3 linked regions of the Arabidopsis thaliana genome follow. The protein of the gene in region 2 binds, or shares a complex with, the protein of the main gene of each other region. Each region holds a gene or a part of one and is shown on either strand. Other genes may lie near its edges. The genes, in order: FUS5, COP13 and COP8.

Region 1 (9,463 bases), on a different chromosome or scaffold from region 2:
ATCCAGGTATTTGATTTCCTAGTGCCTAGGTGGTTATAGTGCAGAATTGTTATCCATTTACGTGCACCTAGAATAAATGAAATTAGAAGTTAATTTTGAAAACCTTCTCTAACTTTTGGAAATGGTTTCTGTGTTTTCCAATTGATGCCTATTTTCTTCTATCCAGTATGAATTCAATAACTAATGCAGATCTCATTGATTTTTCAGGCCGTAATTTCTGAAGTTCCTGAAATCATCCTCAGATGTATAAGCAGAGATGAAGCCGCTTTTGCTGTCGCTCAAAAAGCTTTCAAGGCTCTTTACGAGAATGCATCAAGTAACCTTCACGTCAGTGCTAACCTAGCAATACTTGTTGCTATCCGTGATGTTTGCAAGCGTGTTGTTAAAGAGCTCACTAGTTGGGTATGTTTACAACCTTTTCAAGATTTCACTTCGCTGATGTGCTTTGTTCAGTTACTTCTCCATTAATTTGTCACTATTTCTGTCAGAACACATAGGATAACACATATCATATAAGTGCTAGGTCGAGTCTGTTTCCTGTAGTTGGAGCCTATCCTCAACTGGTTATAGATACTAGATTTGTTTCTTTGGTATTTTTAGTTATAATTAATTATCTTTCTTCAAACTTTTGACACAGGTGATTTATTCAGAGGAGGATCGGAAGCTCAACAAAGATATTACTATTGGTCTTATCCAGCGTGAGTTGCTTAGCCTAGCGGAGTACAATGTCCACATGGCGAAGCATCTTGATGGAGGGAGAAACAGTATGCTGAATTGCTTAACCTTTGTTGATGTCCTTGTGTGGTAACATTCTTTTTTTGTTTTGGCTAGTGAACTTGTTTTAACAAGTTGTTTGTTACGCAGAGACCGCAACTGACTTTGCTATTTCTCTACTCCAATCCTTGGTCACTGAGGAGTCGAGTGTCATTTCAGAGCTCCACAGTCTTGTTGATGCGCTGGCAAAGGTTGCAATTTTAACATTCTTCTGCGTTTGTTGTTGCAGTCGCATATTCTTGTTCTATTATATAAAAAAACAGTTAATAGGTGTGAAAACATACAACTAGGGAAGGGATAGGTTCAATTTTTTTTTTTTGTGGTTAAATCTACTGCATAACACTGTTTATCATATAATGCCAACTGACAAGTATTGTGGTTAGGTTCAAATATTATGAAATTTGGCATTGTTATATTTGGTGACGCTGCAATTTGTATTCTTGTTTTGGTTGTAGCTTGCCTCAAAATCCGGATCTTCTGAGTCATTGCAACAGCTAATTGACATCATACGAAATCCAGTTACTAACACAGCTGGCCTCTCTGATAGTTCAACCGGAAATGATAACAACGATAGGCAAAAGGATGAGAAGGTGTCAGATGTCTTCATTACCGAATGTTGCCTGTAATCAGACTGTAAATGTATATTTGACATGTTAGCTTTTTCTTAGGTTGCGTGCAACACCACTAACACAGAAGAGAGTACCAGCTTGGATTATGTGGAATCAGATCCTGCGGGTTTCCAGAATCGGGTAATTGTCTGCATGTTATTAGCGTTTATGAACTTCTATATTGATTTAGAGCTCTACCTTTTCTTTTTTAAAAGTTGATTGGGAATTGCATATATCTAAATTTTTCACTTGCAAAAGAGTAAATCAAAAGCTAAAATGTTTGTATCAGCACAATGAATTTGCAAGCTACAAAAAGGATTTCAAAACAAACGTTTCTATGAAGCTATTTTCGTTCAGTATGCATGTTTTTTTCCTTATTTTTGTCTTGTAGATGGATTTTAAATTTTCACTTTAATTCGATGTATTTAGATACATGTGTTTGTAGTTTGTTATCTCTTCAGTTTTATGTTTGAACATACATCTCTCGTACTTCTTGTTTATATCTTGTTTTTGTCTTCCTCTGTATGGTTTGGCAGGTGTCCACGCTATTTAAAAACTGGTATCAAATCTGCGAACTTCCTGGTGCAAATGAAACCGCATGTTCACAATATGTCCTGCATTTGCACCAGACTGGATTACTTAAGGGAGATGATACAACAGAGAGTTTTTTCCGAATTCTTCTGGTGATTTTACCTTTTAAGAATGTTTTAGCATCAGCACTTTCAAATCTTGAGAGGCATCATTATTGATTTTGGCTTTCCTTTCTGTAGGAACTTTCTGTTGCTCATTGTATATCTTCTGAAGATATTAATTCCGGTGCTGTGCAATCTCCTCAGCAACCTCAGAGTCCATCATTCCTTATCATTGATATGTATGCAAAGCTTGTTTTTTCAATATTGAAGGTAGAGTGCTCATTTTTTTTTTTGCATTCTTCGTGGATAATTATACCCAAAATACATTGCCGGCTAAGCTTTTTTTGTTTTGTTTGTTTCTTATGACAATCTGTTCAGTATTTCCCTGAGCAGGAGTCTAGCAGTAGGTTATTTCTTCTTTCAGAGGTAAGGGGACACATACTCTTATTGGAAATAAATCTAACTTCTACTATAATGGATGGAAAAGGTGAGTGGTATTGATTACCTGTTTCAGATCATGGCTGACACAGTGAGATTTATTCAAAAGGACGCAGAAGATAAAAAGACATCACTCAATTCTAAACCATATTTCCGATTGTTCATCAACTGGCTACTGGACTTGTGTTCCCTGGATCCTGGGACGGATGGTGCAAACTTTCAGGTGCATTTTGTTGTCCTTGAAGTAGCTGCTATTAATTGTTATCACTTTAATTAATCTTTTGTTGCAGGTTCTCACAGCTTTTGCCAACGCCTTCCACGCATTGCAGCCTCTTAAGATTCCTGCTTTCAGGTTAGGACACAAACCTATTTCTCACCGTGCTTCTATTAAAACTTAAAAATTTGAATCTCTCAGGAAATTTGAGGGCAGTCAAATACCTATGTTGTCAAACATTTCATGTTGTTGACATATGTATCTTCTTTTCTTTGATCTGTGATCCGTGTTTTATACATTTTTTTTCTTCTCCACTGAGGTTTTTATAAATTTTTCCAGTTTTGCATGGCTAGAACTTGTCAGCCACAGAAGCTTCATGCCCAAACTACTTACAGTAAATGGCCAGAAGGGTTGGCCATATGTTCAGCGCCTGCTGGTGGACTTGCTTCAGTTTCTTGAGCCATTTTTAAGAAATGCTGAACTCGGAGGACCGGTTTGTGCCTTTTTCTCTTCTGTAATTGTTTTGCATTGGACACTAAAGGATATAGTCGATGGTAACTTAAAGTGGTCTCTTTTTTGGTGTGTTTATTAATTGCGTAGGTTCATTTCCTATACAAAGGGACATTGAGAGTATTACTGGTTCTGCTTCATGATTTCCCAGAGTTCCTATGTGATTATCATTTTACTTTCTGTGATGTGATTCCTTCAAGTTGCATACAAATGCGGAATATTATCCTCAGTTCTTTTCCACGGAACATGAGGCTTCCTGATCCTTCTACCCCAAATTTAAAGGTACGAGATGATAGTGGAGATTCCAGCATGTTCAACATATTTTAAAGAAAATATATTCCTTGTAGGCTGAATTATCGTGTTCATTGCAGATTGATTTGTTACCTGAGATAGTAGAAGCTCCCTGTATCCTTTCTGAGGTTGATGCTGCGCTAAAGGCAAAGCAAATGAAGAATGACGTGGATGAGTATCTTACGGTAATGGGAACACCTGATTCTTCAATTTACTTATATTCACTTTGGTATTCTTGAGATTATATCAAGAGATACTCATATAATTTTTCTGCAGTCGAGGCAGCAAAATTCAACTTTCCTAAGTGAGTTGAAGACAAAGTTACTTCTATCGTCCAGCGAGGCTAGTTCAGCTGGAACCCGTTACAGTGTACCATTGATCAACTCGCTTGTGCTATATACTGGAATGCAGGTATGGGTCTAATTTCTATACAGCCTTTTCTTTTGATTTCTAGTTTATTATATATATATATATGCAAATAACCGACATTGCGATAACAGGCTATTCAGCAGCTTCAGGCCGGTGAGACACAGGCTCAAAATGTTGTGGCCTTGCAGATGTTCAAGTATTTAAGTATGGAACTTGATACGGAAGGGCGGTATCTGTTCCTTAATGCAATCGCCAATCAGCTTCGATACCCCAACAACCACACTCATTACTTTTCTTTCATCATGCTCTATCTATTCTTCGAATCTGATCAGGTGAGTTTGCTTTGCTTGTCAAGAGTTGTGTGGAAAAATTAGTGAGCATGGAAATCTGATTTTTTTTTTCTTTTTCTTGGGATGAATGAAACAGGAGATCATACAGGAGCAAATAACTAGAGTGCTGTTGGAACGGCTAATTGTGAACAGGCCACATCCATGGGGACTTCTAATCACATTCATTGAGCTAATAAAGAACCCAAGATATAGCTTCTGGAAACAAGCCTTCATCAGATGTGCGCCTGAGATTGAGAAGCTGTTTGAATCGGTAGCCAGATCCTGTGGTGGCCTGAAGCCTGTCGACGAGGGAATGGTTTCGGGAGGTTGGGTCTCAGACAATTCTCACTAGCTCTTTAGCTTTCAACTTGTATATATGTATGCGTATTTTGATATTATGTTGTAACAATTATACATACAGTAGGAGAGATTTTAGGAGTCTTAGTTTATTTATTTAACTTCAAGATTCACAAACATGTTTTCTAATTACAAAAAAAAAAAACACTATTATTCCTTTATCCTTGCTCTTAAGGGTCTGTTTGAGAATTAGTTAGGTGAAAACATGTTTGAGAAATCGGCGGGGATTGTGTTTTCATGGTCATAAAACATGACCATAAACACTGAAAGAGATTATGATTATGCTGAGGGAGTGTGAGAAATCGGCAGGGATTGTCATCATATAGTACTAGACTACTAGTACTTTGTATAACGTTCTCAGGAACATGTTTCGGTCAGAATTCCGATGGTGGGATCTAGTCGATGACGTAATAAACAACACTTTCATGCCCGCCTAAGAGGCAGCTGTCGCAGACTAAGCAGGTTTCAACATGTGAGGGGCCAAGGCGCTGGCTAGTGGTCAAAAGACGGAACACTGAGAATATCTGTATCATTCCATATGATCCAAGCGCCTAGCTTTGCTCAAGTGTCAAGACTATTGATTACTGAATACTAAATTCAAAGCCATTTTTCTTTTAATGGGCAGAGAGACACCAAATTTGCTAATGAGGGAAATCAAACATAACAAGGGGTTATTGTGAGAGAGAACAGAGGATCTTATACAAGTTGAAAATCCGCAACCAAATAATCATAATCTACTCTCGGTAAATGGAATGTCAATCCGCACTGACCATTTGCTCTCTCTTGCTCCTCTACCTTGTTACAGGATGCCTCCTCCTGCGTTCCAAAGTTGAATGTGTGTATGTTATATCATCTCCTTTGTACTTATCATCTCACTCATATCTAATATTCGTTACCTCTTTGGTCGGATCCCATCTTCTTCGTAGTCCATCACTCCACTTGGTTCCCCAAACATCTCCTTATTCCCTCTGATGTCAACATCCCCCTGCCCACAACGTAAGTAAGACTATATCGACCACCACCCTTCCCAATCATATTTCAGACACAAAAAACCAAACGAACCTTGTTTCATTTCATTTAACAATCAGACAATAACCAAGTACTACCATTCCAAACAATTCATGTCCTCTAATGACTTTAACACTTCACTAACAGCCGTTGTGATTGCGTTCCTTGTTTGTTTTTAATTAAAGAAAACTTCATAATATATGTTTACATCCAACATGTAAGATTTCTTGTTCCACGAAAGAACGGTTAAAAAAGCCCGCCACAGTTGGCTGATCGATTCGTTTGTTATTAAGAAACATAACTTTTTAATCTATGATAGGACTGGACTTGGAAAGCTCAAAGACCTAGAAAGATTTTTTTATCAAGTCTCTCCCATCCCCGCTTACATAGACCTAAGCTATTAATAAGAAGAAACCCACTACAATTCTCTGAAGAAATATAAGACAGAATAGCTGACTGGACTCTAACTCATGGTCACAAGACAGTAACCAAGAAAGAATGTAACCAATATTAGTTACATAATATACTTAGTAGGGAAAAGTGAAGCCAATAGGACTCCAAGCGCGACTGACCTTCATGGACAGAGACTTCTTCACTTCTTCCACCCCTTCTTCTGCTTCCTTACGATGTTTTTTGTCCATCTCACTCATATTGTCCGCCCATTTGATCTTGTCTTGAATTGAAATGAGCAGATTCTCTGACGTGTTCAACCTAGACATCAATTTGGGCCAACACATAAAAGAGTAGGACGTCATTAGCCATGTATTCTAACATCACGTACAAGTTCTTATAATTAGATATAGAAGGCAAAAAATCCTGGATCTAAGGGAAGAAGAAAACTACCAGTTGGACAATGTGTGTAACATATTCCCTAGTTGACCTGGCCTTAGATCCCTACCAGCTGCAAACGGAACCTGCATGGTTGCAAGAGATATATGATGTTTAGAAGGGGGGGCTCGTACGTTTAGAAACAAAGCACAATGGTTAAAATAGGAAAAGGAGGCCCAAACCAAAACACACCTCAAAACATCTTTTTAACTGATCCAGTTTTCCCCTAACTATACCCTGCAAAGTGTAAAAGAAAAAAAATGAGCACCATGCGTTGTCACAGTTAGTTGTCAAATAGAGATTAGAAGACTGCTAAAGAGTACTCACCGCATACATGCATTCATTGATAAGAAAGTCCTCGAGTTCGCGAACATTGGAAACATCTAACTCGACCATTAGTGTATCATAGGGCAATACCTATAACAAGCAGAGTGAGAGAGACATTCAGTTAGGCAAACAGCAGGGGAAAAAGATAATGGAACAGAGTAGATAGCAGGAGCAAATCATGAACCTAAGACAAATATACCTTGTTAGACTCAGCAAGGGTGAGGACAGTGAGCTGCTTAAGCTTAAGAATTTGGTCAGGGGACAAGTGCGGAAGACGGGTGGCATTGCCTAGTGTTTCGATGAAAGCAAGTCAAGAGGAGAGAATATGACAAAAGGGAAAACGAATTGAAATAGCATATGACAAAGGGGTCATACATTTGTAGTCTCCCCAGGTGCCATGGGCAAACAAGCGTAGTAGATCCAGGTACACAGAATCTGTGGTTCCTTCAAGCTGCACAATTACGATTAATCAGCTACTAGTATCTATCAAGTTGTTATGATCAGCGAAGAACAAAAGCATGTAAAACCCTAGATCGTGAAAAGCATAAAGTAGTAGTACCTGGGCAACATTGGGTAGAGCCAAAATCTCGGAGAAGGCGAAGAGAGAAGGATGCGATGTGGCTTCGATGATGAGCGGGCCCAGAGCCTCGGATTTGCAAGTAGAAGCTCGCTTCACGAGCTGATCAATGATCTCGGCTTGCTTCTGCTCGATATCCATCTTCCAAACAAATCGATTTCCGGTGGTTTAGGGTTTTCTTTCTTACCACACTAATAACGAATAAAATCCCAAACTTCTTCTCTCTGCTCCTTCCTTCTTCCGTTTTTATATTACTGTTTTTTTTATGTGACCGACCGAATTCTTCTAGAATCTTGTTTAATAATTGGGCTCAAATTTCGTAGTTTCTGGGCCAAGGCCTACTAAGAGAAATATTAGAAACCGCGTCTGGTGAGCCCAAACAATCCCGGGGAAGAGAGAGACTATTGAATATTCTTCTTCCTTCATTTTGGCTGAGAGAGCGACGACGATGGCGGAATCTCGCAGCAACAGAGCGGCGGTTCAGGCTACTAACGACGATGCATCCGCCAGTAAATTGTACGCCTACCTCTTTCTCTCTTCTTTAATTAGGGCTCTTCTTTTTTTTTTGTTGTTGTTGTGGATCTTTGAGCCTAGATAATATTTTTAAAGGTCTTGTGTCAAAAAGGGATATATGAAAGACGACTATGTTCATCTCTTTGTGAAAAGACCTGTTCGAAGATCTCCCATCATTAATCGAGGTTACTTTTCCCGTTGGGCTGCCTTCCGAAAGCTTATGTCTCAGTTTCTTCTAAGCGGGACAAGTTCTAAGAAACAGATACTGTCTCTCGGAGCTGGCTTTGATACTACCTATTTTCAGTTGCTGGTGCGTCTTCTTTTTCTTCTCCTTTTTGTTAGCTTTTACCAAATTCACCATTCTTCGGCTTATTCCAGGGATCTCTCGCTTCTTCTCTTCTCATTTTGTAGGATGAGGGGAATGGGCCCAATCTCTATGTGGAACTTGATTTTAAGGAGGTACTACTGGATGAGCGTGCTGACAAAAGTATCCATCATGTGTTTTGAGTCTAATGCCTAAATGGATTTGCTTCTTACGTTAGGTGACTAGCAAGAAGGCTGCTGTTATACAAAACTCCAGCCAACTCAGGGACAAACTAGGAGCCAATGCATCTATTTCTATTGGTAAGAGCCTTTTTTCCCCCCATGTATTATTATGTAGAATGATCCTTTTCATTATGATGCATTTCAGCTTGTGCACTCATATTTTTCTTCATTCCGCTTCTACTAGCTACTAACTCAACCACCCCCTTTTACTTTGTACCGTTAGCGTCTAGTTTCAGTTGCTTACTCTTAACTCGTTGGGCTGTTTATCTCTACAGACGAAGGACAAGTTCTCAGTGATCATTACAAGTTACTTCCAGTTGACCTGCGCGATATACCAAAATTAAGAGATGTTATATCCTTTGCAGATATGGATCTAAGGTATCCATGAATAATTTTTATTTATTTTACACACTGTTATCTTGAACCTTCAACCCTCTTCTTCTACCCGGGTTTAAGATATATGGTAACAGATACTTACTGGTGATAGACCTACTTGATCCCTAATATCATTATCAGTCTGCCGACGTTTATTATTGCAGAATGTGTTTTGATTTATCTGGACCCCGATTCAAGCCGTGCCATCGTCAATTGGTCGTCAAAAACGTTTTCAACTGCAGTATTTTTCTTATATGAGCAGGTTAGCTCAACTGTGATTTTCCTTGTCTGCATAATATTGCAGATACGAATCTTATTGCTTATGTGTCTAACCCGTTGGGTTTCTGTTTGCAGATCCATCCAGATGATGCATTTGGGCATCAAATGATTAGAAATTTGGAGGTAAGAACGTGTACTCTACTACTCTAGTTACAGCGACATCTTCATTAGTAAAGCTTTTTTGAGATTTTTGTCAAAATATGGATACTAGTATGACACTAAAATATTCTAGTATTGCCACATGGGTTCATGTTGTACTGATCAATTACCTTCATTTAAACTTGTTCTGAAAGCTTAACGGTGTTTCTGTTCTTCAGAGTCGGGGATGTGCACTCTTAAGCATTGATGCATCACCAACTTTACTTGCAAAGGAGAGATTGTTTCTTGATAATGGATGGCAGGTTCGTTTTGCAGTTAGAATATTATGATTAAAGCAGGGCTAACTTTCATGTATAATTTCTGATATAAGGACTCTCATTTCTTTACCC
Region 2 (9,816 bases):
GTAGAATACTTTGAAACTAGTGGCGACATTTTGCGTTTGTTGCTCAAACTCCAGTCTCCAAACGCTCTTCACAACGGTCGGACTCTTCTACACCATGCTGTCCTCTGTGGCAACAAGGCAGCCGTCAGTGTCCTCCTTGACTGTGGCGCCGATCCAGAAGCTCCTATCAAAACTTCACGAGGCATTGAACTCAGACCGATTCATATTGCTGCACGTGACGGATCAGTGGAGATCATACAACAACTCGTTGGCTTTGGCTGCGATATAAACTCGAAGAATGATGTAGGGAACACAGCCCTGTTGATCTCAATAAAACACAAACATCCAGAGTGCGTCAAGGTTCTCGCCCTTGATGGTGCTGATTTCGGTTTAGTGAACAAGTTTGGTCATTCTGCTGTTTCGATCGCTGAGTCAAACAAGTGGTCTCTTGGATTAGAGCGAGTAATTCTTGAGCTGATCCGGTTCGGTGTTGTTCCACATTCAAGCAACGCTTCAGTATTCTCGCCTTTGCTATATGGGGCTCAAGCAGGAGATGCTGAGGCGCTTAAAGCGCTTGTAAAAGCTCAAGACATCTACCTAGACTATCAAGATGAGGAAGGCTTTTCGGCTGCAATGCTAGCGGCCATGAATGGCCACGTTGAAGCATTTAGAGTCTTAGTCTACGCAGGCGCAGACGTGAAGCTGTATAACAACTCTGGCGACACGGTAGTCTCTCTGTCTGAACAGAACGGTAACCGTGACGTGATAGAGAAGGTGATGCTCGAGTTTGCTCTCGAGAAGGACAGCAGAAACATGGCAGGCGGGTTTTATGCTTTACACTGTGCTGCACGGCGTGGAGACGTCAAAGCAGTGAAGCTTTTGAGTGGAAAAGGATACAGTCTAGACATCCCGGATGGAGATGGCTACACTCCGCTCATGCTTGCAGCCAGAGAGGGCCATGGACATATGTGTGAATACCTAATCTCCTGTGGCGCAAACTGCAATGCTAAGAACGGAAGAGGGGAAAAGCTGCTGGATCTCGCGACTGGTGATGCGGAGAAGGTGATCCGTAATGAGTTGTCTCGGAGGTTTGTGATAGAAGGAAGCAGTGTGATGAAACACACCAAGGGAGGGAAAGGAAAGAAGCATGGGAAAGGATTGAGAATGTTGGAATCAAGTGGAGTACTAAGTTGGGGAAAGTCACGGAAGAGGACTGTGGTGTGCAAGGAAGTAGAGATCGGGATGAGCCAGCGGTTCAGGAAGAACCGTAAGGGGAAAGGCGATGGAGCGGAGGAGGAAGGGATTTTCCGGGTAGTGACTACGGAAAACAAGGAGGTTCATTTTGTGTGTGAAGGTGGGTTGGTGTGTGCAGAGATGTGGGTGAGGGGAATACGACTTGTGACCAGAGAGACAATTTGTGGAAGAACTCAGACTCAGAATTAGTGTTGTTTATGTATGTATATAAAGAAGTTTTGAGAAAGGGAGCTTCATTTTGAAGGTAGTGTGCTTCTATTGTGTTGGGGATGTTTATAGTTCTTGGGTTTGGTATCTGCAGTATATTTGTGAACTGTGAAGTAGTTCGAGTTGCACATGAATGAAAACTAAAACATCTCAGTTGATTTGAGATTCTCCAAATTTGATTATTACTTTGTCCAAAACAAAGACTATTCTAAACTTACATGGATTCACAGGCTTAGATCCAGCACTAAAATTCGGCATGTGATACCTGGATATCAAAAAACAACATGAAGTTCCTGTCTCTTTCAAAAGAACAAAAGTTACAAAATGTTTAAAAAACATTACATCACACAAGAAGTCAGCACTTTTGTTTACCAGTCACCAACTCAACAAGCAATAACCAACAGAGATAAACAGAGAAGCTTTGAAGTTCTAATCACTATTGTAACCACCATCATCGTTATCCTTATCTTCGTGGTCCTTCACCACTCGTTCTATGAACTGTCTTCGAACTCCAGCCATCACAGCTTCCCTCGAGGAGTCATCGTCTCCTCCTTTGCCATCGTTAAGAACTGGCTCTGATTGACACAGAAGTAAGGCTACACCTGAAAAACCAAATCAGTTGCAAGTATGTTAGACATGTGCCTAAGACCAATCTGCTCAAAGCATGATACAATCGCCAATGTGGTCACATCAGGTCTCAGATCAGACAAAGGCTAGAGATGAGACATGACATAATCATCAAACACAAATAAGCACAGATTACATCAGACAAACAAGGGTTCATTCAAACTTACTCTCTGGGGTGCACCTACGGCCAAAGCTCTTTAAGCCTACATGAGTTCCTTTGATGGCGCCATGGTGGTACACCAGCAAGGTAGGAAGATTGCAATCAGGGTAGTTCGGAATACAATCAGTAGATATTATCTTAACGAACTTTGTTGCTGGGTATCTACTACCCAATTCGTCTAGACAACCCAATAGCAAACTACATTCTGCAACACTATCAGAGAACAACAAGAAATAAACATGAGTTAATAGTGTTTCAAGCATGTAGTAAAGAATGGCTCAACAAGAGTTCACGAATACTTGAAAAAACATACCCATCTTTATAGAGACATACAACAACCCAATCTTCAGCAGAAGCTTGCGTAACCTCCCTCACGAAATCAGAGCCCGAGATGGGAGTCACTGTTCCATATCTTTTAACTTTAGCAGCCTCTCTTAGCTCAGACAACCTCTTCTTCCTATGAAAGCATCAAAACACATTAGTGCCTGTGAATCATGAAGTGTGTTGCACAATTATGTTTAGCCTATTCATCAACATCTCAAATAAGATACTACCCTCAATTGCATTCATATCCAAAACACAAACGAATCGAGAAAAACCAGAGCTTGATAATTGCATTCCCTAGCTACATGGCAACAGATCCGAGAAAATTGAATTCACAATCCACCAAGGCAAGGATTCTCCAGGGAAAGTTAAGATTGTAAATACAAAAATCAGAATGTTCGATTCGATCTACGAACCTGTATTCTTCGAGAAAGCGATCATCGTCGAGATCTTTGTCGTCCTCAAGATCCTCAAGCTCCTCCTCTGTCTTCTTATCAAACCATGCCTGATCCTTAGGAGCTGAAGACTCGTCTTCCGCCGGAGTATACGCCGGAGGTTTGAAAGCCGGAGCCTTCTCCGGTAGATTCCCCAATTTCCGCTGGATATCATCCCATTGAGTTGACGCTCCTTCAATGTCCTTATACACGAAATGATAATCCGCCATCAAAGTATAACCACCTACGAAGCTTCAAAGAGAACCTTTGAATCTGAGAGGAGAAAAAGCAGATTGCTTTGACACTCTGTGATCGCAATCTCGTTCTTTCTCTGGAAAGACGAATGATAAAAGGCCATCCCCGAAATTGGTCTGGCTAAACCGACAATTACCATCTGGTACATTTCGAACCGGGAATATTTGGTTTAAAAGCCGGTTAGATATTGGTTTATTATTCTAGAGTAATGTATTAGACTCTTAACCGTTCGGAGGGTTCGTATATATATTATGAGAGCATGTATTTTTATGGAGAAGATCCAGAGATAATTAAACAAACAGTTTAGCAAAAGATTTTGAGAGGGAGAAAAAGGGCGATCGATTAGGGTTTTTGTGTTTTCGTCTTAGTATCGAAGATGATCGGAGCTGTGAACTCGGTGGAGGCTGTGATAACGTCAATCCAAGGTTTATCGGGGAGTCCAGAGGATTTATCTGCACTTCACGATCTTTTGAGAGGAGCTCAAGACTCGCTCCGAGCCGAACCAGGTGTTAATTTCTCTACTCTTGACCAGCTCGACGCCTCGAAGCACTCTCTCGGTTACCTGTATTTCCTGTGAGTTTTAACCTATTGGTAGATTAGGTTTTTGTTACTAGTTTGTGTATACTTTGAGGCTGATTGATGATTTTGGTTATTGGAACTTGATGTGTGTGATTAGGTCGAAGTTTAACAAGGAGAATTGTCTATGTTATTCGATTTCTGATCTTTGAGTTTTTTGTATGGTTTGATTGTTACAGTGAGGTTCTTACCTGTGGTCCAGTGTCGAAGGAGAAAGCTGCTTATGAGATACCGATAATTGCACGGTTCATCAATTCTTGTGATGCTGGGCAGATTCGTTTGGCGAGCTATAAATGTAATTTACTGACACTTAATGAGAGCTTATCTTGTCTTAATGTGTTTTCTTTTCTTTTTTCTTTGGGGAGATGGATGATGTTATTATATTGATTTTGCAGTTGTATCTCTTTGTAAGATATTGAAAGACCATGTTATAGCACTGGGAGATCCGTTGCGAGGAGTAGGGCCACTGTTAAACGCTGTTCAGAAGCTTCAGGTCTCCTCCAAGCGTTTGACTGCATTGCATCCAGATGTTCTTCAACTCTGTTTGCAGGCGAAATCGTACAAATCTGGTTTCTCCATTCTTAGTGATGATATCGTGGAGATTGACCAGCCAAGAGACTTTTTTCTCTATAGCTATTATGGGTAAGCAATTTTTCCTCATTGCTATCTGTTTTTTTCCTTTGATCAATAGATGTGTAAACACATTAAATCCATCCCTGTTGGGTTTGTTTTATAGTATTTTCTTATTCTGGTCCTTGATTACCTGGACTTTTGATAGGGGAATGATTTGTATTGGACTGAAGAGATTTCAGAAAGCATTAGAGCTTCTTTACAATGTAAGGCATTTTTATTTTTTCTTACGTGCTTTTTATACATTAAGGACTTTCGTTTTAGTTTTAACTCAACCTAAGTACTTGTATCAGGTTGTGACTGCTCCTATGCATCAAGTCAATGCCATAGCTCTTGAGGCGTACAAAAAGTACATATTGGTGTCTCTCATTCACAATGGGCAGGTAAGGCTGTGTTCTTTATATTTTACTTTCTTTGTTTATCTAGTTTTCGGTCATGGGAGCATATTGCACGAGTCTGAATCAACTGTATGTTTTTGAGAAATGTTGGTTTCACAATTACATCCTGTGTCTGATTTTAATTTCAAGCATTGGTTAATCTTATGATGTTTTTCTTATAATCTTGTTTGATTTTACTTGTGCAGTTTACTAACACTCTCCCCAAGTGTGCTTCTACAGCAGCACAGAGGAGCTTCAAGAACTATACCGGAGTAAGTTTGAACCCGATCATTAGTTGTATTTTTCATGTTTGAATGGAGTCTGGTCCCTTTTTCACTTCAGTCCAAAGATTTCAGTTGTTTTGTACTCCATACCAGCTAAATCTATTTTCAGGCTTATGATTTTATCGTTCACCCTTTTCTCAGCCTTACATTGAACTGGGTAATTGTTACAACGACGGGAAGATTGGTGAACTAGAGGCATTGGTTGTGGCCAGGAATGCAGAATTTGAAGAGGTAAATTGCCTCTAAACATTTACCATAGTTTCTGTACCAATATTAAATATTCATCCCCTTCCATAACTTGGGCGAAATGCTCTTTCAGGATAAGAACCTTGGATTAGTTAAGCAAGCAGTGTCATCCCTTTACAAGCGTAACATTCTGAGATTGACACAGAAGTACTTGACCCTGTCGCTTCAAGATATAGCCAACATGGTCCAACTTGGTAATGCTAAGGAGGCGGAAATGCATGTGCTTCAGATGGTATTGTGTCCCACACTTGATTTTTGGAAGCTAGCTTTATTAGTTTAACTGGTATGTTGGACAATATCATTTTTTTCTTTACAAACCTGCAGATCCAGGATGGTCAGATACATGCCCTTATCAACCAGAAAGACGGGATGGTCAGATTCTTGGAGGACCCTGAGCAGTACAAATCTAGTGAGATGATTGAGATCATGGATTCTGTTATACAAAGGTATGTCTACAGAACTAAGTGTTTTGATATGGTTTTTTTTTGGGAAACATTGCTTGAATGTTGAAACTCGTAATAAGGAGTGCATAATTAGCACTTGGAATCAAGTTGATATGGAGATGACTGTTTTGCCAAAGGAAAGTAGTAGCATCAAACAAGTTATGTGTTTTGATAAAAATTTCAGGACTATTGGTCTGTCGAAGAATCTCTTAGCCATGGATGAGAGCTTATCATGTGACCCTTTATACTTGGGAAAGGTAATTTAATACCATATTCCATTAGTCTTCTGTCCTGGAAACCCATGTTTCTCTGACTAAGCCGTTTGACTACTTTTTTTCAGGTAGGAAGGGAAAGACAAAGGTACGACTTTGGAGACGATTTCGATACTGTTCCTCAGAAGTTCTCCATGTAAACAGCGAAAGTCGAGAAGCACCAACAAAACTTGGCTCAAAGACAACCGTAGTGTGAATCTTGAGAATGTTACTTTTGATTTCTTTGTTCATTTTTGTTGGTTTAAAAAGTTTCATATTTTTGTCACAATTGCCAACAAGTAGAGAAGACCATTATGGACCCTCAAATCTTTTATTTCCCTTTTACTTAAAAAATTTTCCCCTTGCGCGTGTATCTCTCGTGCTAACTTACGCGAGCGTTTTATCATTTGCAAGGGTTAGAGAAGTCTCAACGGCGTCGTATCAAACTCGTTTTTAACTGCGTGTCGTTTGGGGAATCTGATAGACTCCTTGTTGTGGTGGGCTAGTTTCAGGCCCATTCTCGCTAAGCGCCACGTAGATTTTTATTTCTTTACTCATTTTTTATGTCGCATCTTCCCCATTTCGTTTTCAACCTGATTTCTCCATTTCCCTCTCTTATCCTCAATGAAAAAAATAATCTGAGAAAACGCAAAAGAAGAACGGAGCAAAATCCTCAGAATCGTCGCCGGAGAATCTTTACGTTTCGACATAATCGGAATTTTGGAATTGATAATTCCGATGGAAGGGGTTATCACATGTTTCCATACGAAATGCGTCTCTCTTCCAATTCGTTCTTTCCCACTTTCTAGGGTTTCTTCACTTCCTCGGTGGAGGAACAATAAATTGATCTCTTCATCGCGATCGGTTCATCTAAGAAGCTTGTGCGTTTCGAGCTCAGATACTTTAGTCGCGAGCGGTTCACCAAAGGAAGACGAGAGGCAGAGCAAAGTATCGAGCAAGAAGGAAGGAGATGACTCCGAGGATTTGAAGTTTTGGATGGATAAGAATGGGTTGCCACCTTGCAAGGTTATTCTCAAGGAGAGACCAGCTCATGATCAGAAGCATAAACCTATACATTATGTTGCTGCTAGTGAGGATCTTCAGGTGGTTGACTTAGCATTTCAACAGTTTTATTTGCTTATACACAGTTCCATAGGGTATTCCAAGTATCAATTTCCGGGTTTTGATGGTAAATTTTTCCTAATTACCTGTCTTTTACAGAAGGGTGATGTGGCGTTTTCAGTTCCTGATTCTCTGGTGGTTACTCTGGAAAGAGTTTTGGGAAACGAGACTATTGGTATGAGACATTCTCTATTATGTTTCCTATTCCATAAAGCTACTTCATCAGTTATGCACTATAATATTTGGATTAGACTTTGTGATTTCTCTTAGATAAGGGTGGGATTACGGGTGTTTTGATTCTTGTCTGAAGCCATATAAACTCTCTTTATCACACAGCTGAACTGTTGACGACGAACAAATTATCCGAACTGGCTTGTCTAGCTTTGTATTTGATGTATGAGAAGAAACAAGGAAAGAAATCAGTATGGTATCCCTATATAAGAGAACTTGATCGTCAAAGAGGAAGAGGTCAGTTAGATGCGGAATCCCCTTTGCTGTGGTCAGAGGCTGAGTTAGATTACCTAACTGGTAGTCCTACCAAGGTATTGCGTTAGTATATGCCGGACGTGTGATGAACTAGTATAGTGGGTTCTTAGTGGTTAACTTCTTTAACATGGTTCAGGCCGAAGTTCTTGAGAGGGCTGAAGGGATCAAAAGAGAATACAATGAGCTTGACACTGTCTGGTTCATGGCTGGATCTTTGTTTCAGGTGTTTGGCTACCTACGATTTCGGCTTCTTCTTGTCATTTTAATATATGGAATGCTAAACATCGGCCTCGGACTTACACCATTTTATTTGTGTTTTGCAGCAATACCCATTTGACATACCAACTGAAGCTTTTTCATTTGAGATTTTCAAACAGGCATTTGTTGCCATTCAGTCATGTGTGGTGCATTTACAAGTAATTTTCATTCTTTTGGGGTTTACTTTTCACAACTTGAATGTCTTTCTGTATTTGAAAGAATAGTTAGAGTAAAATATAATAATATGGTCTTACCTCTATTACTCTATCGCTGAATCTAAAGTTTAGCTTGCAGCTCATCATTTAAGCAAGTAGTCAGGTGGTGCTTGTTGCTTCTTCTAATTTAGATTGTTATGCTTCTTCTTGTACTCAGAATGTCGGTTTGGCTCGTCGGTTTGCTTTGGTTCCTCTTGGTCCTCCCTTGTTGGCCTATTGTTCCAACTGCAAGGCAATGCTTACTGCTGTTGATGGTGCTGTTGAACTCGTGGTAGATAGGCCATATAAGGCCGGGGATCCTATAGTTGTCTGGTGCGTCTGTAAGCCAAATTGCTTCCTACAGCTAGCTTTTTCATTCTGATCTATTTTTCATACTTTTGCATTTCCTCCTTTATTTGAAGGTGTGGGCCACAACCAAATGCGAAATTGCTTCTGAACTATGGATTTGTTGATGAGGATAACCCTTATGATAGAGTAATAGTTGAGGTAATTACAAAACTTTGTTGCGTTACTGTAAACACTAGTGTAGTGTTCATGTAATTCCTCACTGTTTGCATGTTTTATGCGTCATACACATTCAAGGCAGCGTTGAACACTGAGGATCCTCAATACCAGGACAAGAGAATGGTTGCTCAAAGGAACGGAAAATTATCCCAACAAGTATTTCAGGTATGACTTTCCCATGGCAACAAGTCTACTTTGAGATGTTCTGTCTGATTTTGGTTTTGCATCCATCTCAGGTTCGTGTGGGAAAAGAAAGAGAAGCTGTTCAAGACATGCTTCCCTACCTGCGGTTGGGTTACATGTCTGATCCTTCTGAAATGCAGTCAGTAATTTCATCCCAAGGTCCAGTTTGTCCGGTAGGTAGAGGATGAGTGACCTGGCAAAACTTTTTTCTAAGTAATCTTTGATATTTCCTTGATTGCATCAAATGTTCAGTCCCTACATGTGAGGCCTCCAATGTTACTGCTACATAGAAAGTTGTTGACACACTTGTAAAGGTTTAACTCTCAAGCTCTTTTGTAGATGAGCCCTTGTATGGAAAGAGCAGTACTAGATCAGCTTGCTAATTACTTCATGAGACGGTTATCTGGCTACCCTACTACTCCGAAAGAAGATGATGCATTGGTATGTCTTTAGACTTTGTGATCGCTACAGATCAAACACATTTTTTTGTTTGGTTTTCCTGCATGACATGACATTGATAGAATTCCCAATCAACAGTTGGCAGATCCTAGTTTGAGTCCTAGGAAGCGAGTTGCAACCCGGCTTGTCCAACTGGAGAAGAAAATACTAGTTGCATGCCTTACGACAACAGTTGATCTTTTAAATCAGTTGCCCGATACAGCCATCTCTCCATGCCCAGCACCATATGCTCCTTCCTTGAAATAAAAAGGCACGTATCTCTGCCCCCTGCCTCTCTCACTTAATAACTAATATTTTCTGACCTTCTAAAACTATGTTGGTTCAGGTTCGTGTTGTAGCTGCAATTTGTGGGACATGGCAGGAGTAATTTTTGGTCGTGTCCTTGATCATTACAATCTGAGGTCGCTTAACTACGGTCAGTTTTTGTGTGTACAAGTCTAGATCTGATCCTTTGCGGCTCGAAAACATGACTAGGAAGTTTCCAAAATAATTTTGATTTTGTAAGATTTCTTGCTAGCTACAAAGCCGAAATCTATCTCCTT
Region 3 (10,554 bases), about 13 Mb from region 2:
TCAAACACAGCAGCGATTATATCCAAAGCACACTTAGGAGTGATTTTAACAAAACAAGTATTCCATAATAATGTTGCTTCAGCTTCTTCGACTGAGAAAGCCGGAACAAACGCACACACCAAAGCTAAAACAATGAACAATGTAGTAATCTGAGTGTTAAATTTAGACATATCTACTTATGGTTGAAATATACAAGAAATATTCTTATTTTACTAAAGAAATCGTAAGAAAGAATGATTAGTATTTGTTATTTAAAAAATGGGGTAATCTAACTTTTATATAGGAAATCAAAATCACAACGTAACTTCTAAAAAAACCAAAAAAGATTAACGTTATATTTAATGGCAATTAAAATTTTGACAAATAAATATACTACCAAACTTAAATTTAATAGTTTCTATTAACGTTGCAAAATTAAACAAAAAAAAACCCTAAATACATGTAACAATATCCAATTCAATAGATAGAAGAAAGCAATGGTTAACTTTTTTATATTTTGATATCTAACACCAAATAGTTAATGGGTATAAGGTTCAAATTGACATATTTTATGGTATTCAGCCAAATAAATTTTAATTTCAAACTATTTTAAGTATAAAATAAATTTATTTTTAAAAATATAAGAAACATAACTCACATTGTATCTAAAACGTATTATTTATTTTTAAAAACTTTTTTTCTAATAATAATTTTAATCGAAAGACTAATAAATGTTAGTAAAAATGTATTCGAGATTTAACTTATTGAAAGGATTTCAAAGTTTCTCTAGACTAAATTTAAAAATATTAAGTATAAGGTTCACAAGAGCAAATAAATAAATTTAAAATATTAAATATAGTTTTGCTATAAATCTGTTGAGAATATAACTATCAAATAACATATTATTTGAACTTGCACATGAGCTCAAACTTATAGCAAATATATACCGATCAATAGAATTAAGATCAAATCTTTGATGAAAAGATCGAACTTTTGATGATTCCATCAGGACTCCAATTCGCAAAAGTGCTACTTCGCACACGTGCCAACTCGCACAAGTGCCACTTCACACACGTGCCAACTCGCACATGCGAACGAAGAACACGCAACGGAGAATAATAAACACCGTCAGCTTTTATCGTCATTTTTCGCCGCTCTCACCGAACCTCTGCTTTCTCTCTCTCTCTCTCTCTCTCTCTCTCTCTCTCTCTCTCTCTCTCTCTCTATCTCTACTGTGCGAAAATGGCGATGAAGGCTTCTATCAAAGGCAAGTACGATACTGACAAAACCAGTGGAATCGGTTCACTTGCTTTCAACGCCGGCGATATTAAGCTACGCGCCACCATGACCGATGCTACTCTCGTCGCCGGTCCTACTTTGACCGGTCTCGCTCTCGCTGTAGAGAAGCCTGGTTCCTTCATCGTCGAGTACAACGTCCCTAAAAAGGTCAGAACAACTCTTTTGATTTGAGTCAAAGCAAACAAATCTTAGAAATTTTTCAATTCCCATGGAAATGAGATTGATTGCTTACGATTAAACCTAGGATTCAAGTCAAAGCAAACAAACCTAGAAATTACGCAGCTAATGCTTGAATTGAAGTAGGATTTAGGATTCTGGAGTTTAGGGTTTTTAGATTCTCCACAAGTTTAAAGAGATTTGCAGGCAGACATTTAAGAATCTATGTGCTTAACTATGTTGGTGATTTTGGTTTACAGGATGTTAGGTTTCAGTTCATGAACACAGTAAGAATTGCAGAGAAGCCTTTGAATTTGACTTACATTCATAGCAGAGCTGATAACAGAACAATTGTCGATGGGAGCCTTGTGATTGATTCTGCAAACAAACTCTCTGCTAACCACATGGTTGGGACAAACAACTGTAAGATTAAGTATACCTATGCTCATGGAGGGTTAGCTACGTTCGAGCCGTGTTATGACTTGGCGAAAAATACATGGGATTTTGCGGTTTCTCGAAGATTTTATAGTGGTGATAATGTGAGGGCAACTTATCAGACGTCTAGTAAGTTGTTGGGTATGGAATGGTCAAGGAACAACAAAGCAAGTGGATTCAAGGTAAGAAAGAACATTTTCAGTCGAAAGTTCATATCGTTTACTATATTTTGATGACAATCTTAGTTCTTTAAAGTTAAACGGTGATATCAGTGACTTAAACCTGGTAGAAATAGAATTGATTTGATAGATGAAACTGCTACCTACATGGGATGCATAGCTTCTTGACAATAAGGCATCATCTTTGGGTTAGGATAGTTCATGTATTCTTTGCTGCATCATAATCAGTAATTTTAGATTGTTCTGTGTATTGGCAATCATATTTAGACATTGGATTTGCTTTCTTTTGAGCAACAACTATGTCGTGAAGAAGCTTTACCGCTTTACGAACTTTAGAAATTCCATGTGTTTTGGTCGTTGATGGGCTTTATTTTCTTGTTTCAACAGGTATGTGCGTCTGTGAATCTTGCGGATGAACTGAAAACGCCGAAATTGACCGCAGAAACTACATGGAACCTTGAAATGTAGTCTCTTCTTTACACTACTTAGCTAAGTTTCACTTCAATTGTTTGGTGTTGCAACACATTTTACTAGTCGGTTCTTGCGAATCTTCCGAAATTTTGTTGCAACAGTTTCTCATTATTATTACTAGCAGTTTCGTCTGTTATCATTGATCATTTCTTAAATTCGCATAAGTTTTGATCGTTCAAGAATAAAAATTAAACAACGAATGGGAAAATGTTATATGTAACTACTAGTTTCATCTGAGAAATCATGAGGGGAAAATGTTGTGGCTGGGACTTCGTGCAATCCCGAGAGTTCAGACAGTGTTGGAAGTGGAACTTGAAGCTATGAGATGGGCAGCTCTTTCAATGTCAAGATTTAACTATAAGAAAGTCATCTTTGAATCAGATTCCCAACATCTAGTGTCTCTGTTAGGGGATGATACTGATTATCCAAATTTGGCCCCAAGAATTCAGGACATTAGACATATATTCCAACAATTTGAGGAGGTGAAGGTGATGCATATAAAGCGTGAAGGAAACAGTGTGGCAGATAGAATTGCTAGGGAATCTCTTTCTTTATTGAATTATGATCCTAAAATGTATTCTAAAGGTGCCGGCTTGGATAAAAGATTGTGTGTATTCAGACTCTGTGTAATCACCGTTTGGTAAATGAGAAGTTGTTGTTGAGCCAAAAAAAAAAAAAAAACTACTAGTTTCATCATTCTCTTGCACAAGAAAGGTTCATCTATGCATAAAATAATTTGTTCTGAGGTAAAAATGTACCCTGAACCTCTTTTCAACTTTCTTAAAAATCCTCATTCAATGCCTAATCTTTTCCTCTCTGAATCAATTAACCTAAAGACATAGACATGAATTTGCAAGAAAGTAAATAAGGTGAAAATGACTGTCCCCAAAACACAGCAATTTGGCAAAAACTTTGGCATGAGACTCGATCCGTTGCTCGGCTAATACAAATTAATCATCATGAGGCGATCTCACGGCTTGGGAGTCAATCAGACAGGAACAGACATGCCTTTCTTGGCCATCCCATCCAGAATGTCATTGAGAGCTTGGCATAATCCCGATATCTGCACAGATTCCACTTTTCAGTCATATTCCACGCCAATAAAACAAACAATCATATATAGTTGCTCTAAAGAGACAAAGAGTGGGAGGGAGAGATAGAAAACCTGTTGATCCCATTGTTGTAGTTCCTCCACGTCATCCTCAAAATGAATCACAGCCTCCTCCTGAACAGTAACATAAAATATTAAAACACGTCTAGGAACCTCCTTCTAGAAAATCAACACTAACGAGAATTCTCTTCAGGGCTCTTACATAGCTCAACCAACAAAGTATTTTTTATTGCTTACCTGATCTATGGAACCCCTCATTCGGTCTTGCCCAATCATATTAGCTGCTATCTTCTCCGCTTTTCTTGGATCAATCGCCAACAGAGTTCCCAATTCATCAAACCTAGGATATAAAATAGTTGAGAAAATCAAACAAGTCTAGACACACAAAGAAGATACTAATTCGACATCTCATACCTTATGTTTGTGTAGAGTTTGCTTGCACTAAGAAGGTTATGCTCAATCATAGCACGGTCAAGAACAGTGGATTTGTCAGGCAAAGATGCTTTCTGTTGAAATCAACAGTGTAATAACTTGTTATGAACCTACTTACCAACTCAGATGTTATCCAAAAACTACATCTAAATCTTAATTCACAGTCCATACCTGATGTGGCCTTAGTTCTTCTGAAAAGGCATCAATCTCTGGTCTCCTTAAAATCCTTTCCAGATACACCTATAAAGTTGCATTAAAAAACAAAAAGTTACCATGCATTTCTAACCAAGCCTCTATAAGCTATGGTGAACTTGTTTGATTTGATAATGAATCAAATCTAATAAACATCATGCCGGCTTAAACAAGAGTAATATGTGAGTTCAAACAATACTATATGTCCAATAGCATGAAAATGTATGTTTGTCTACTAGAGGAAACAGTTGTAGGTAATAAGAGATAGAACCTTCTGCAGGATAGGATAAATCTTCAGCTTGGAGCAACGCTCATCCTGTTAATAGAAAGATATTGAGAAATAAAAAACAATAAATAAGCAAGCAGGAAAGTATTCTATTTGTAATCCAAAAGGGAATTACTTTGTATAAAGTTGCAAGAACACGAGAACGCTGAGGACCAGCTCCAGCTAATATGGTACATGTGACAGCAGCTGATAGGGCCTGCTCTAAAGCATTCTCATCAATCTCTCTGAAAAGATTAGAAAACACATTATAACCGTTTCAGAATATGAGATATCACAAAGGTATTGGAGAGAGAAAAGAGGAACACTATTCAATCACAGAGAGGGGAAAAGTAGGAAACTAGCTTTAAATACAGAGTCTCCAAAGATGGATAGAAGATTAATTAATCATTATTCCATCCGAACAAGAAACCAACAGAGGAGAATTTGAAGAAAAGATGTAGCAGAAAGATAAGTCAGTTCACTTACTCATCCCCTATTTGGCGTTGCTCAATCTGAGATATGCCGTAATACCGAAGTGCAGCCTCTAAAAACTTTCTTTTCATGTCCAAAATTCTAGCATAGCAGACCTGAAACAGAAATATATTAAAACTTGAAAACGAATGCTCCTTAATCACCCAGCACATAAATTCTTAGTTTACTTTAAGGTGGTCCAACCTTGTACTGCAAATTCAAAACTTCATTCTGACTATTGCTCACTAAGAAAGAAGCTTTATTTATAAAAGCCTCTGCATTTACAGCATCATCATCCTGAAAATTTCAAAACACAAAAGTATTAGAGAACAATAAAAATTTAACTAAATGTATTTATACAACTCTGCTAGCCTCAATTTACTCTCACAAGCAATAAATAAAAAAGTGATGTAGTGAAGCAGAATAATGCTCTTAACAGTCGATATTCCTAATTTCATGACACTTAGATTTGGTCAAGAGACTTAACTTTAAATAAAATCTCTCTAGAAAAATGTCCAAATATTTGAAGATTGAATCAACATTCAACAACGGGTTTCTTTTGTGCTTTTAAGATCTAACTTCTGTAACTGATTGACACGCACCCACAGAAGGAAACAAGACAAACTAGCTATAAATCATTACTGCGATGCGTAAATTCATCTCATAAACAGAGATAACCGATTTACATGCTTAAAAATTAATGAAAAGGACACAGAATCTATTGTGCATATGTACATGAAAGGGAAAGACAAACCTCGAGATACAAACGAGCAATTTGGATACACTTTGAAAGCTTGAAGTTGTCGTCAACGGCCCTAATAAAGAATTCCGCAAATCCAAAATAAGCAACACAAAAGAACATAGAGAGGAAACTAAAACAAAATTCTGCTCAATGCCACACACCTCATTCCAGAATCCAGATCAATTCCACTCAACATCTGTGCTGCTTTTGACCATTCCTGCTCTGATTCATACAAACCCGCAAGTTTTTCTCTGATAACAAGTGCCTGCAAATACACCACAAACAGTTTCATCTCTTAGAATAAAGAGATTGAAAAACAACACAACGTACATTGTCTCAGTTATCCCAAAATACAGCATCCTTAGTAAACAAATATCTCAAATTAGCTTTCAGTGTAGATTTCACATACCAAAGCGGTACAATAGCAAAGCGACTCTACATACCTCTCAACTTATGTTAAGTAGGTAAACTAATTAGGGTTTAAAAAGTACACGATTGCTGCTAAACAGTAAGGTATCACGAAGAGAAAACAAACCTGTTCCTCAAAGGAAACAACTCTAGGCTGAATCTGGGTAAGAGTAAATTGAGCAATCTCCTTCTGCGTCTCCGGTTCTAATCTCCCAAGCTCTTGTGCGAAAGACTGCAAAAGCTGCCTCGAAACCACCAACGGGACATCATCGGAAAGAACTGGAAAAATTGTGAGGAAGCAAAAATCAAAATCAAACCAGAAATTCTGATATAAACCGAATTCCATAAGAACAAAAAGCAGTTGTCGAATCTCTTATGAAGTTGAAACCATGAGAAAGAAGGGAGATGCGAAATTACTGTGATCGATGAATCTCTGAGCTTGGAGAAGATCGTTGGAAGAGAGAACAGAGGAGAGGATGAGTTTGTACTGTTCGATTTTCTGGCGTTGGTCACCGATTGCAGAAGCGTTCGTCAAAGCTTCATCCATGGCTTCTCTTCTGAGATTTTCTCTCCCGCTTCGATTGAAACCCTAAGAAACCTTACAAGGTTTTGATTTCTCTCTCGCTTTTTTTTTTTTTTTTTTTGGAGTTTGCTCTCTTTTTATATTAAAAAAATAAACGGGGACTAGATTCTGTGCCGGTGATCGGAGAGGCGCTTTACAAAATTTACTTAATATGGTCACAACTCATATGAGATTAGTACCCAAAATAAATTAAAATATATATATATATATATTAAGCATAAATACTATATTTTTTTTTGTTAGTTCATAAATTTTATAATTAATTTGTGATGGTAAGTTTACCAAATTGATTGTAGATTAAAAAAAAAAATCAACAAATAATATATTGTTTAGAAATATTTTTATATGTGAGCCTAAATTACTACAGTAAATCTTTTACACAAATAAAAAAACACGTCGTGATTTGGAAAACACGATGATGAGGTATTTTATGATGACAATACCACGTTTAATATTATGATACCAGATCGGAAAAAGATGATATGTTATGTGTTTTAGAGCTTAGGGAGCAATTTAAGATGGAAACGTAAATAATTATTTGTTGAGAAAGAATCGACTAGAAGCAATCGAAAAATTGATCGAATGGTCAAGATATGACCGAGAAGTCATCGGAAAAGTTGTGAGCCCAAATCTTGAGAGCAATGACATGCAAAATGTTTTGAAAGTGCTCTCATGAATTAAAAGTGAAAAAAGAACCACTCTCTCGTTACATAGAGGGTAGTATATAAAGAAATTTACCTATCTCAGACTAGGAAACCAAGTCTCGCATTGGAATACGACTTTGGTTTAAACATGTGAGCTGACTGACAAATCGATTTTATGTGCTTTACAACTTAGATATAACTGAACATATTGGTATTGGATGAGGTTGGACGATAGACTCATAGACACAATCGTTGTCTCGAAAAATCACGAGTTTCTCTCGCTTAAAGGATTTTTTTTGATGAAGTTTATGGTGATCCCGTTCGAGAACATCACAATTGTTTTTGAATCAACTTTACAGATCCATATTGTAACTAATGATTATAGACTACATAGTTTACCAAAATTACATTTACTCAAAAGAACAGATGCGGTTGTTGATGGCAAAACTTTTTTGGAATGGTAGACATCCCATTGAAAGAAAACAAATTGCCATGGTATGGAATTCATGATAATGATTTAACTCGTTATAGTCTGGACAAATTGTCATGGTAGGGTTTCATTGCTCTTTCTTTGGGTAGTTACCTCAAGATATCTCTTTGTTCTTCCTTGTGATAGTTCCACCTTGATATGTACAACCCCACATTAATCTGCTCATTTCAACATTAATTTTCTCTATTGTTTTTAAATTGTGTGTATAAGATTATTTCACTAACTAGGAAAACAATCCATTTCTTTGACACATGGGCTTTACTTAAACAAAAGCCCAATAACTTGTGTTTAGAAGTCACATGATCAAATCTCAAGACCTATTATAAATTAACAAATTTCATATTGATAAATTTTAAAAGATTTCCTATTACAATATTTAAAGTTGCTACAAATTATAGATTCTTTTGATCTTTTCTGATATTGTTTCTCAAATAAAATATAGGAATACCAAATTACAATATGAAAGTTGCTTCAAATTATAGATTCTTTTCTGATTTTGTTTCTCAAATAAAATATAGGACTGAACTACCAAAGGCAATAATATTCAATGTGACCAACAAAAAAAAAATAAAAAATAAAAAGAAATACTCAAATCTCATAACCTTTTTGACTAAATATATCAATTTCTTCTATTTTCAATGAGCATAAATTACACGCGTCCTCAGAAGCTGAATCCGATTTGCAATTCTTCAATCTCAACCGTTAGATCAACAAATCCGGCATCGAATTCCTCCGCGTGGTTTGGTCCATTTTTTTAATTTGAGTATTAATTCTTTTCCTATTTGACAACATGTTTTATTAATTATTATTATTATTCCATTTGCATTAAAATATAATAAAAAGATGTAAGATTCTCTCCGCCTCCTTCTCTCTATAAGAACCGACACAGAGACGAAGAAGAATAATCACTCGAAAACTCATCAAATCAAAAATCAAACACAGAGAAGAGAAAATGGCCGCAGAAGGAGAAGTTATCGCTTGCCACACCGTTGAAGATTGGACCGAGAAGCTCAAAGCCGCCAACGAATCCAAGAAACTGGTAAAAACTCTCGATCTAAGGTTTTAAATGTTTCTTTCTGATTGATTTCGCTGCTTTATCGTTTCTGATCTTGGTCCTTTTGATTAGAATATGACGGATTCAGAATTAGGTTTGAATTGTCCCCAATCGAATTTTTGAGCTCCTTAATGTCAAATTTATGAACCCTAATAGTTTAATTGATTGTTTAGGAACCCAGAATCTCAGAAATTGAAACCCTAAGAACTTGATAGAAGCATCATTGGATAAAAACATGTTATGTGAATCTCTCAACTATGCATATTCAATTTTATGAATCATCTGCTAGAGATCACATGAAAATTGTCTTTAGTGAACCCATTTTGTATCTATGTTTGTATTATTATCCATGTTCTGTGAAGCACATGAAATGCATACATTTGTTATCTTAATGATGAACCGATGTCGTATCTATTGTTTGAATTATCGATCGGTGTAGCTTGTTTTCTTAAATATGGTTGTGTGGAAATGACACAGATTGTGATAGACTTCACTGCAACATGGTGCCCACCTTGCCGTTTCATTGCACCCGTCTTTGCTGACTTAGCCAAGAAGCACCTCGACGTAGTCTTCTTCAAGGTCGATGTTGACGAATTGAACGTGAGTTTCCTTCATCAATCTTACACTATCCCAATATCCAAACTTAGGGATTTTTGACTTCTCTGAGCCTTTATCTTGCTTGTTATGTTGTTGTGCAGACTGTTGCTGAGGAGTTTAAAGTTCAGGCAATGCCAACGTTTATCTTCATGAAAGAAGGAGAGATCAAGGAGACTGTGGTTGGTGCTGCTAAAGAAGAAATCATTGCCAATCTCGAGAAGCACAAGACAGTTGTTGCTGCTGCTTGATTTGCTTTTCTCTCTTACCTATTTTGCTAAAATATGTTTGGTGTTTTAATAAATCCTTTGTTCGCCCGAGTCTTTTCACCTTAAATGTGCTCTTATGTGTGGTGGTGAATAAATGTTGTTGCAAACTTGATTACTCGCAGCTATGCTAATTGTTCGTTCATGGTTATGTTTACTCTTTGGGGATTCTATTGTTATGTTAGTTTTTCAATTTTCAATTACATTACACCAACTAGTTATCAATCCAATTACATTGCCAAATACAATTTCGTTTTGCCTAAACTCTCCATGGTTTTTCACTTCAGAAAGGACAAAAGCACAAGGTGTTAATTCAGACACTGAAACATTTCAGATGTCATTTATACATAATGATCCGTTACAGAAAAAAAAGTGGGAGGCCATGAGGAATTTCAATTAGTATTATCAGTCTTGGGAAATTATATAAACCTCTTTTGTAACTGAAAGGAGAGACATCTTACGGTCGTCATCATTAAACCTTGTCGTCATGGAACCACCACCTTGTCTCTTTAGGAGACCTCCCGTTCTTGCAGTTCTTCACATATCGATCGTTATCAGTCGGGCGTTGCTGATATTGTCATCGACAATAAGACATAGTAAGAGTTGTGTGGCAGGGTCAAAAAGTTTGAATTTGTGACAACAATACAAAGTGTGAGAGATCAAATGTAGAAACCTTTTCGGGGGAACTTGATAGCATTGAGAGGATGCTGATGCAGACTGAACTCACTGTCATTGCTGGAGACCATGAGTCATACAGAATATCTACAAAAAGGAATTAGAGAG

The links.
Region 1: COP13 (region 2) and FUS5 share a complex: the UniProt entries of both Arabidopsis thaliana proteins name them as parts of the CSN complex.
Region 3: COP13 (region 2) and COP8 share a complex: the UniProt entries of both Arabidopsis thaliana proteins name them as parts of the CSN complex.

What each region holds. Positions count from the first base shown.
Region 1 is NC_003070.9:382,166-391,628, forward strand, and holds FUS5 (Proteasome component (PCI) domain protein), read right to left. Parts: upstream 7,644-9,463; 5' UTR 7,404-7,643; coding exon 7,245-7,403; intron 7,137-7,244; coding exon 7,061-7,136; intron 6,974-7,060; coding exon 6,885-6,973; intron 6,776-6,884; coding exon 6,686-6,775; intron 6,596-6,685; coding exon 6,551-6,595; intron 6,445-6,550; coding exon 6,374-6,444; intron 6,242-6,373; coding exon 6,103-6,241; coding exon of another isoform or gene 6,058-6,102; exon of another isoform or gene 5,508-6,057; coding exon 5,419-5,507; intron 5,339-5,418; coding exon 5,314-5,338; 3' UTR 5,112-5,313; downstream 1-5,111. Other genes in the region: AT1G02080 (transcription regulator), read left to right, coding at 1-6, 208-402, 638-764, 865-965, 1,230-1,364, 1,443-1,523, 1,919-2,065, 2,153-2,284 and 9 more; SBI1 (Leucine carboxyl methyltransferase), read left to right, coding at 7,711-7,778, 7,872-8,085, 8,187-8,234, 8,318-8,399, 8,597-8,699, 8,838-8,958, 9,051-9,098, 9,293-9,376. UniProt on the Arabidopsis thaliana protein: Component of the COP9 signalosome complex (CSN), a complex involved in various cellular and developmental processes such as photomorphogenesis and auxin and jasmonate responses.
Region 2 is NC_003076.8:4,594,354-4,604,169, forward strand, and holds COP13 (Proteasome component (PCI) domain protein), read left to right. Parts: upstream 1-3,514; 5' UTR 3,515-3,616; coding exon 3,617-3,813; intron 3,814-3,995; coding exon 3,996-4,111; intron 4,112-4,211; coding exon 4,212-4,458; intron 4,459-4,594; coding exon 4,595-4,652; intron 4,653-4,739; coding exon 4,740-4,829; intron 4,830-5,029; coding exon 5,030-5,095; intron 5,096-5,248; coding exon 5,249-5,338; intron 5,339-5,426; coding exon 5,427-5,585; coding exon of another isoform or gene 5,586-5,633; exon of another isoform or gene 5,634-5,677; coding exon 5,678-5,799; intron 5,800-5,980; coding exon 5,981-6,053; intron 6,054-6,136; coding exon 6,137-6,208; 3' UTR 6,209-6,482; downstream 6,483-9,816. Other genes in the region: AT5G14230 (ankyrin), read left to right, coding at 1-1,422; AT5G14240 (Thioredoxin superfamily protein), read right to left, coding at 1,870-2,042, 2,235-2,440, 2,541-2,684, 2,968-3,215; AT5G14260 (Rubisco methyltransferase family protein), read left to right, coding at 6,786-7,151, 7,269-7,344, 7,506-7,711, 7,792-7,878, 7,979-8,071, 8,286-8,440, 8,530-8,614, 8,711-8,797 and 3 more. UniProt on the Arabidopsis thaliana protein: Component of the COP9 signalosome complex (CSN), a complex involved in various cellular and developmental processes such as photomorphogenesis and auxin and jasmonate responses.
Region 3 is NC_003076.8:17,233,963-17,244,516, forward strand, and holds COP8 (Proteasome component (PCI) domain protein), read right to left. Parts: upstream 6,855-10,554; 5' UTR 6,688-6,854; coding exon 6,558-6,687; intron 6,420-6,557; coding exon 6,268-6,419; intron 5,998-6,267; coding exon 5,894-5,997; intron 5,806-5,893; coding exon 5,745-5,805; intron 5,288-5,744; coding exon 5,195-5,287; intron 5,107-5,194; coding exon 5,006-5,106; intron 4,765-5,005; coding exon 4,656-4,764; intron 4,571-4,655; coding exon 4,526-4,570; intron 4,303-4,525; coding exon 4,234-4,302; intron 4,137-4,233; coding exon 4,045-4,136; intron 3,971-4,044; coding exon 3,868-3,970; intron 3,745-3,867; coding exon 3,685-3,744; intron 3,583-3,684; coding exon 3,508-3,582; 3' UTR 3,191-3,507; downstream 1-3,190. Other genes in the region: AT5G42957 (inhibitor/lipid-transfer protein/seed storage 2S albumin superfamily protein (DUF784)), read right to left, coding at 1-170; AT5G42960 (outer envelope pore 24B-like protein), read left to right, coding at 1,222-1,425, 1,695-2,051, 2,436-2,516; AT5G42965 (Polynucleotidyl transferase, ribonuclease H-like superfamily protein), read left to right, coding at 2,774-3,163; TRX3 (thioredoxin 3), read left to right, coding at 8,810-8,896, 9,389-9,511, 9,610-9,756; UBC18 (ubiquitin-conjugating enzyme 18), read right to left, coding at 10,244-10,339, 10,445-10,533. UniProt on the Arabidopsis thaliana protein: Component of the COP9 signalosome complex (CSN), a complex involved in various cellular and developmental processes such as photomorphogenesis and auxin and jasmonate responses.